3 linked regions of the Kluyveromyces lactis genome follow. The main gene of each other region encodes a partner of the protein of the gene in region 2 in a complex. Links are inferred from orthologs where the notes say so. Each region holds a gene or a part of one and is shown on either strand. Other genes may lie near its edges.

Region 1 (2,293 bases), on a different chromosome or scaffold from region 2:
TGCTCCAGCAGCTGGTTTCTTGAAGGATCAAAACAGAGGTGGTCATTCTTCATCTGGTGGTCGTGGTCGTGGTAGAGGTCGTGGCGGCAGAGACCGGGGTGGCAGAGGCGGCAGAGGCCGTGGTTCTTCTTCCACTGACTGAGCGTTTACCTTTTCATAATATCGAAATTTTCCGCAGCAATGCTGGCGCTGTCTAAAACGCGCATTGAAGTGCAGTTGAACGTAAGTGAAGGAAACCATATGCTCCTAAGCTCCTCGTTATTCATCATCTCTATCTGATTTTCACGTAGAAATTATCTTTCGGTAGAGCGAAAGCATCTATATGTTCGTCTTCCAACGAAGTACGACGGGATAAGAAAAGTTTCCTGTCATCCAAATCCCTTGCGTTTCACGCATCATTAATCATTATATTTTGTATAGTATTTGATGTCATTTAAATAGATTACATTATTAACATTTAAGAACGTCACCAACATCATTTTTACCCATACTGTTTTCTTGTTCTAAGGAAGATTCAGAGGATCATTCCTGCAAATAAAGCACTCGGCTTACTTCATTTATGGGTAAATCTGCAACACCGCTAGTTTCATTAGTGATGTACCAATCTAACTCCGAGAAGTTTTTGTATTCAACTATTCTCCCTTGAGTATCAGTTATCGTTCGCATATCATCAAGTGGGACCGTTAACATGTCAATATTATAGGAAAGCATTCCGACGTAAGTGAAAAGCATTGTCATTAGTACAAGACATTGGATGGCTATTAACCAATATCTTTGAGGTAATATCTCGTAAACTTCGGCTATGGCTTGTCCTTGTAGTATAATCTTTGGTAAGAATGCCCACACAACTATAAAGAAGACAACTAATGTGGATGAAACATATACGGAAAATCCGCCATACTGTCTTTCTTTATTCATTTAAAAACATAAGTAAGTGATAATGAGCGTTAATATATTTAGAGATGGTTTGAAGTGATCAAAGTGGAATCAAACATTTGATGGTTAGGTATTATTACTAAATTACTCTCTTATTTTACATTTATATAACGAACGATAGTGTTTATTGATTTTGTTCATCGATTTTTTTTATTTTAGTTTCGTACGCAGTCGACATAGGAAAGGCAGACGAAAATGTTTGAAAATAACGGTAAATGTCACATAGTAGATAAGAGGTGATTTTTTGGGAATCGGTTCGAGCTGGTGTCCTTTCCGTAACACTTGCCGACTTTTTCTTGCCAGTCATTATTAGAAAGATTTGTTTTTGAGGAAAACACTTAGGATTAACTCCTAGAATCGAATATGTAAGTGTTAATCTCCACAGTAGTAGTTACGAATAAAGACGAAGATTAGTAAGGGAAAGCTTCAACATCTGAAAAATATATTTGTTGAATCTCATGGCAAAAACACCCAAAGGACTCTTCACTAATAACTGTCCTTTAATAAGATATCATTGAGATGGTTCTTTTGGTAAGAAATGACGAGAATGTAAAATAAACACTGTAAAGTATTTAATGTGACTGTTAATCAAGCCACCAATGCTAAATTGAGTATGACATCGATATGTGATTGTTGGTAATGAAAACAACATATTGATCTTCACTCTTGTATTTGTTCCAGTTGCTGTTGTTGTTGTTGTTGTTGTTGTTGATTGGCTAGCTTTCTTTCTTGTCTGCCCTTCTTCATGACTTGTTTCAATGCGGTACTATCTAGAGGTTCTAACAACTCGAACGAACACAATAAACCTTCGCTCACGCTCATTACTGCACCCCAGTTATCAAATTCTCCGCAGTAATTTGGAGCAGAAAATACCGTTACCAAACTTCTATCATTGAAAAACTCGTAGCCGTCTTCGACGACCATATGTGCTCTACAAACTAAATCAAAGCCAAACTTATTCAAAAATTTGTTGATCGCAACCTTATTGTAACAGTAAGACACACCACGTTCGTTGTCTTCCCACTCATTTGGAGAATCTGTTGGATCCGACCATAAAAGGTCATTGATTAGACCAAAGTCTGGAACATCAGTAGGTCTGCTTACGTGTCTAATTTCATCCATTGAATTCAATACTGGTGATAATCCTCCATGAACACAGAAAATCTTCCCGGCTACGATCGCAGCTAGGGGCAATGCGTTAAATGTGTCAATGAATGTTTTCCAAGTTTTGATATTACACCGTCTTTTACATTCATCATAGAAACCGTAAACTCTTGTGACGTTTGCGCATTCATGATTACCTCTTAACAAGAAAAAGTTTTCAGGGTATTTGATTTTATAGCAAAGTAAGAGCAGA
Region 2 (3,326 bases):
TCAAAATTGAAGTTCTTGAGTCGAAATATGCCAGGAATAAGGAAATGGAAGGTTCCTTATCCAGCTTGAAAAATGAGCTATTAGAAGTGAAATCAAGAAACTCTAGCCTTCAGGATGAATTGGTGAACATGGAGGCGGAGTACCAGCAGTATCGCAACAATAGAGAACAAGAAATAAAGAACGCCAATAATTTATTTCATACAAAGGCATTAAACAATATCCAATCGCTTAGAGAAAACAATGATAAATTATCATTGATCGCTGAAATCTCAGATTTACAGAGGATTATTCTTCGAAAAGAACAAGAATCTCGCCTCAAATTGTCCATACCATTGTTTGATACTCATCGAAAACAGTTTTCCAGTAGAAACATGTTCAATGATTTCAACAATATGGCAAATATCTTATCGACGTGCATTGAGTTAGCAGACCCTATCATCTCTAATGAGTTTACCTCCATTAGGAAGCACAGGCTCGCAAAATTGAAAGAAACTCATGAATTATGTGTGACATATACATACGAAATGCTCAAAGGTGAGTATTAATTATTAATCATTAATCATTATATATGAGGGTCTCTACAAATGCGGGAATTCCATTTAACAACCCTATCAATATCACCTGCTGGATATAGAATTTCTAAAATATAGAGTAAAATATATTCCACTATAGCGCAAAGAACATACAATAATCTGGCCCAATTTCCATCTTGTCTATAATACTTTTTTAGCATAACGACCCAATTCTTGTTTAAGGAGCGTACATCTAAAGATATCCTGTCATAAACCTGGACGGTTCTTTCAGCCACATTCATCCAGTCATACATTTGTGCGATAGTTTCATGAAATTGTGTTGTATTAACTTTGCTATGTCCTATGCGATGTATCGCTTTGTTCATCGCCTTTATCAAACTAGATACCGAGGTTTCCTGGGCATATACGGTCATATATTCAGGAAGGACCTCCGGTATACCACCGACAGATGTTGTTACTATTAGTAACCCGCACGACGCAGCTTCAACCAAAACTGTTCCAAATGCTTCAGTTAAACTTGCATGCAGGTATATATCCCCTTGGCACATGACATCTCTAACATGTTCGTGTCGCACAGATCCTAAAAGTTGAACGCGTTCCTGAAGCCTATTATTTTCTATCATTTGTTGGAATGCAATGAACTTTGGCCCATCTCCAGCAACAATGAAATCGACGTTATCGTTATTCGTACAAACCTTTGGAATTAAGTGTGTCAAAAGGTCAGCTCCCTTATTGGTATACAACCTGCAAATCACCACTACTGTTATTCTGTTAGATTTTTTCTTTATTGTTGAATCTCTAGGCTTGAAACTGCTGGAAACAACCGCATTCGGTATGACTGACACATTATCTGGATCAAGATTTGCTCGGAGTATTATATTCTCTTTACAAGTATGAGAGACAGCAATGACAGCATCGATGTTGCATAAAGTGAATTTTAGTAGCTTATTGACAAGAATTGAACCGAGACTATCAAATCCATATAAAGAATGGTCTGTAAACACAGTCTGTATCCCCATTGTATTCGCGTGTAGTATTCCTTCGTGCGCAAAACTGGAAACACTTCCATGCGAATGTAATACATCAATCTGTTCTCTAATCAAAATATTTCTGAATATAGGAAAGCTTCCAAATACTGTTGGAAAAGTGGTCTGTCTATAGAGTACCAAGTATGGAACATAGTAAACTTTCAAACCGTTTGATAGATATCGTATTCCTGTTCGATCTCCGTAGGCATGAGTTATAACACAAACATTGTGCCCCATTTTGATTAGCTTTTGAGATAAATGGTATATATGGAACTCAACACCCCCAAGCTGCGGGTAGAAGAAATCGCAAACCATAGCTATGTTGTATTTTTGTTCAGCCATTCTTTAGACATTGATGTGTTTGATATGAATTAAGTGTTTAATATATCGAAACAATTTATCGTTCAGATTAACCCGTTTTGGAGCTACAACTTTTGTTAGACTATACAAAGAATATTTGTATAATTGCACTGAAGTTTTAAATCTCTCAATATGCTTTACTTTAGCGTTACTTAATCTGTACTTTCACTCCTCACTCTTTACCACTTTCTGTTGACTGTTTTTCGATCTTTGGTTGTCTCGATGAGTATTTTGTACAGAAGGTTTAAAATAACCTCGAAATTTGGAAACGTAACCTTTTCCAATACACTTCCGAATATTATCTTGAGGGGTTATCGAGTAAGCAGTGAGATTTCAAGCATATTTAGTTGGTCCACGTTAAGCCAGCGAATAGAGCATTTCGTTAAAGCCTGAAAAATGCCTCGTGCACAAGGGCGGTACCAAGGCGTCAGTCAAGATGAGGATGTCAGTCTTCCAGATGTGTCTTCGGAAAATGTCGTTGACCTGGATGAATCTTTACTACCGCCAAATCCTCCTGAATACGACATCGAATCGCGTCCTGATATACTTCCAATGGAACTTGATATAGAACAGGAAGATACTATTAGTTCAGTGGGTCGTTTTCAAAGGTTAAAGACCAGAATTGAGGATAATTTGATATTTCCAATGAAGAACAATGTTGTCGATCCTCTCGTACAGGTATATCAAATGGCTTCTGCGAAGGTTGATCTATATTTGAGCAAACTGGGAAATCCTTTAATCCTCCGCAGATTTGTGTATATACTTTTCATGTCAGTGATTGTGTACACCGTGGTTATGAGCGGATTGATGCCCAATAGCAAGAGCACCGCCACTATCGGAATGTTCTCGGATAAAAACCAATTAATCTATTACGCGAGACGTTCCATCGACTATGCGAAGTTAGAGGAAGATATGGAATACTTAAGCAGCATGCCTCATTTAGCTGGTACTAAAGGTGATTATGCTATTACGAACTATATCAGAGAATCGTTCAAAAATAATGGATTAAAATTAATGAAGGAGGTTCCGTTCCAAGGATATATGAATTTCCCAAACGAGGTTGAGTTTAGCGTTACTACTTCGGACAATAAAGTGCATGAATTTGCTTTATCAAAGGAAAATTTTAACCCATTAAGCAGTAACGGGAACATTCAGAATGCCGATATAATATATGCAAATTATGGGACTGTCGCTGATATCCAATCATTGAAAGAAAACGGGTTACTTTCCGACAATACTGTTCTCGTTATGAAATATGGAAACTTACCTAGTGAGCAGATACTTGTCGCTGAAAAACATGGTATCAAAGGTATTATTTTTATATCAAAGCCCTTTGGAAATGATGGTGATGTCATACAGAAACTCTCAGTAGCGATTCCTCAGTACGGTACTGGTGATGCTTTGT
Region 3 (2,898 bases), on a different chromosome or scaffold from region 2:
CGTCCTTCAGTGAAGTTGATTGGTTCACCGTTGAACATGGCATCTCTCAATGAGGTGACCTTAGCTTCCTTAGCCAATTGGATCAAAGACTTCAAGATTTCATCGTCAACTAAGTTCTTGGAAAAATCAAACAAGATCTTTGAACCATCGTAATTGACAAACGTCTTGGCAAACTTTTCATAACGAGAATTGTCCTTAGCAAACTCGTCCTTAACATTTAGCTTTTTACCCTTTTGTTCGTACAAAGATTGCAATTGGTTCCAGGCTGGCAATTCAGTTGCCAACTTGAAGTCAGAGTAAGTGTTCTTAGAAGCCATTTCTGATATTTGTCTTTTTATTTCTGTTTTAGAATCTATCTTAACAGAACTTTAAAACCTTTTATTGTACTTTACGGTCAGTTAAAAGGTCACTTCAGAATTCAGCGATTAAACCCTAATCACAAATTCCTTTCTACGTGACTCAAGAATACAATCGAAATACCAATTGGAAGAAGCAATTGATCAAGAACCTTCACCAGAGAATATATATATATAAAGAATCCACGATTTAAGTTAACCATTTCCCTCAAATTCGCAGGTGATGGAAAATACCAAATCCTTTTTTTTCTCAACGTTCCTATTATTTTCCATACTACGTTCAATCATCAATTCGTATATCCCATCGTTATTCGGAACAACTTGTAATTTCTGTCAGCTTCCGCTTTTTTTATTTGTTTCGCACCATCCAGTAAACAAATAGTGAAAGGCACGTAGAAGAAACCGGTGGTCCTTGGAAACCTTAGCTTCCACTAATACTCAACAAAAAGTCAGGGTAATTGTGGCACGTGATTCATCACGTGATTTGAAGTATTTATTCAGTTATATCTCTCAATGGTATCTACGATATCATTGATGTGTTTCTGTTGTTCTTCAAGATTTCCTGGGGTCTCTGTTGATTGTCTCTTCATGTGCTGCATCAAGTTCGCATGCATCTGGCGTAAGCGGGTAATATCCTCTTCGAAATTATCCGGGAAAGTAAGGCCAGTATTGCCCTCTCTGGCCATTCTTTTCACATCATCTAGTGTATCTATATCTGTCCATATCCTATCCTTGTCATCCACTTTTGGTGTAGCATGTACGTCGTCTGGAACGGTATCCTTGGGTAAAGTTCTCGGTATGGCTTTAGAATCCGTAGGTCTTCGTTCATTGTTTGAAGATTGCCTGGTTACCTGATCAAACGAATTTGATGTCTCCCTGCTAGATTGATCCATTGGGTATATGTAGCAATGAGTTGAGCAGTAAGTTAGGCTATATCCTTTGTATCTTACTTGTGCGGGTGCTCCCGCTGGCTGTGCTGTGATATTAAGTTGTAATGGATTAGCTTTTTTACGTATCAATCTCTAATTTTAATGATTCGAAAAAGCTAGCGACGACTGTTGAACTGAAGTAACTTCCTGCACTCGCAGAGATTTATCGCGAGTATAGCGGCAAATCTCCAGGTTTCTTTTGTCCAGACTGTAGTGACTATATTGTGCTAGTCGTTTCCCGAATAACAAATTGTCTTCTCTTATAGTTGTTAATGGCTGCGGGGAAACAATGGAAACGGTTATTGTGGTTGAAACAGCCGTTCCCAGATACCTACACTGATCCAAGTTTCTACAAACAATGGGAGAAGTTGAAAATTGAACATGGGCATTTGAGGCCTCACTCCTCGTACAGGTCTGTTTTACTTGATCTCTTCCAGTTTTACCACATGATTATTAATACTATGTTACTCTATATTATATTTGCCTGGTTCTATCATTACAAATACAATCCGATTTTAATTGCTGCCTCAATTTCATCTGTTTCCTTAATAGTTGCCAACAAGAGGGTACCCTGGAAATCCACTATCATCATTATATTTGCAATGTTGACCTTATCTCCAGTGCTTAAATCTTTGTCCAAGACAACTTCGTCCGATTCCATCTGGACTCTATCTGCATGGTTCACAACCTTTTACATCATATCGATCTCCGCTCTTGAATCTAAAATCCTACCGACCAATATTCTACTCTCAAATGTGACCGTACTTTCTTCAAGATTAGATACCTCCACCCAAGTTTTCTGTTTCCTTTTGATATGTATCCAAATTAACATTCTACTGCCGACGATGGAAAAGTATTTCATAAAGAATAAGTTGAAATTCCTGCATATACTATGTGTTATTGCGACACATGGTACAGTCTACTATTTTATAACGAAGTTAATGGGTGTCGGGATCACGATACCTTTGGGAATATCATCTTTGTTACTATTATTTGGAATCCCTCATTACTATATCCACTGGGAAAGCTACTATTATAAAGGACATCCGATTTTACAGCAGTGGGACGCTGAAAAACCAATATTAGATTAGTTATTAGGATTCTGTTAACATTTACATTTCATTGACTGCATTGATATCAATGCACATAAAATATACGTACTCATTGTAAATAATATAAAGATAAAGCGCATTCTCTTTTTTTTTATTTATTACAATTGGACAACTACTAGATATGTCGAATAAACGACCCTTATCTGGCTGAGTAAAGTAATCGCATTTACTCAATAAATGCACCACCAGCCAAAACTAGGTTCGTTCTTGTGAATTTTACTTTGTGAATTGCTGTTTTCTTTGTATGGAACGAAGCCATCAAATCCTGAGTTGGTATTACTGCCCGCCTACGTCCGAATTCTTTGATATCGTTATTTACACTGAGTTCCATATCTCCTGAATACGTGTTGAATTGTTGTTCCGGCTCCATTCCAGGCTCGTTTGTAAACCTCTTTATATCCCAAACTCTAACACTTTGATCCGCACCACCTGTTACTAGACAGTTACCTTCTTTGTTAAAAGTTATGGAATAGATAGGATTCTTACCGTGACCCTTCATCT

Evidence for each region. Proteins that work in one complex are often made in the same cells at the same time.
Region 1: SPT14 (region 2) and GPI19 share a complex: the UniProt entries of both Saccharomyces cerevisiae proteins name them as parts of the phosphatidylinositol N-acetylglucosaminyltransferase (GPI-GlcNAc transferase) complex. The link is inferred for Kluyveromyces lactis from reciprocal best matches to the Saccharomyces cerevisiae genes SPT14 and GPI19.
Region 3: SPT14 (region 2) and GPI2 share a complex: the UniProt entries of both Saccharomyces cerevisiae proteins name them as parts of the phosphatidylinositol N-acetylglucosaminyltransferase (GPI-GlcNAc transferase) complex. The link is inferred for Kluyveromyces lactis from reciprocal best matches to the Saccharomyces cerevisiae genes SPT14 and GPI2.

What each region holds. Positions count from the first base shown.
Region 1 is NC_006038.1:89,371-91,663, reverse strand, and holds GPI19 (phosphatidylinositol N-acetylglucosaminyltransferase GPI19), read right to left. Parts: upstream 919-2,293; coding exon 523-918; downstream 1-522. Other genes in the region: PSP2 (Psp2p), read left to right, coding at 1-142; PPZ1 (salt homeostasis regulator), read right to left, coding at 1,597-2,293. UniProt on the Saccharomyces cerevisiae protein: Part of the complex catalyzing the transfer of N-acetylglucosamine from UDP-N-acetylglucosamine to phosphatidylinositol, the first step of GPI biosynthesis. Involved in cell wall biosynthesis.
Region 2 is NC_006039.1:839,550-842,875, forward strand, and holds SPT14 (phosphatidylinositol N-acetylglucosaminyltransferase SPT14), read right to left. Parts: upstream 1,904-3,326; coding exon 563-1,903; downstream 1-562. Other genes in the region: NIP100 (Nip100p), read left to right, coding at 1-545; KLLA0_C09735g (uncharacterized protein), read left to right, coding at 2,318-3,326. UniProt on the Saccharomyces cerevisiae protein: Catalytic subunit in the complex catalyzing the transfer of N-acetylglucosamine from UDP-N-acetylglucosamine to phosphatidylinositol, the first step of GPI biosynthesis.
Region 3 is NC_006041.1:2,090,662-2,093,559, reverse strand, and holds GPI2 (phosphatidylinositol N-acetylglucosaminyltransferase), read left to right. Parts: upstream 1-1,557; coding exon 1,558-2,376; downstream 2,377-2,898. Other genes in the region: PGI1 (glucose-6-phosphate isomerase), read right to left, coding at 1-317; KLLA0_E23497g (DUF5315 domain-containing protein), read right to left, coding at 854-1,249; TAF5 (chromatin modification protein), read right to left, coding at 2,564-2,898. UniProt on the Saccharomyces cerevisiae protein: Part of the complex catalyzing the transfer of N-acetylglucosamine from UDP-N-acetylglucosamine to phosphatidylinositol, the first step of GPI biosynthesis.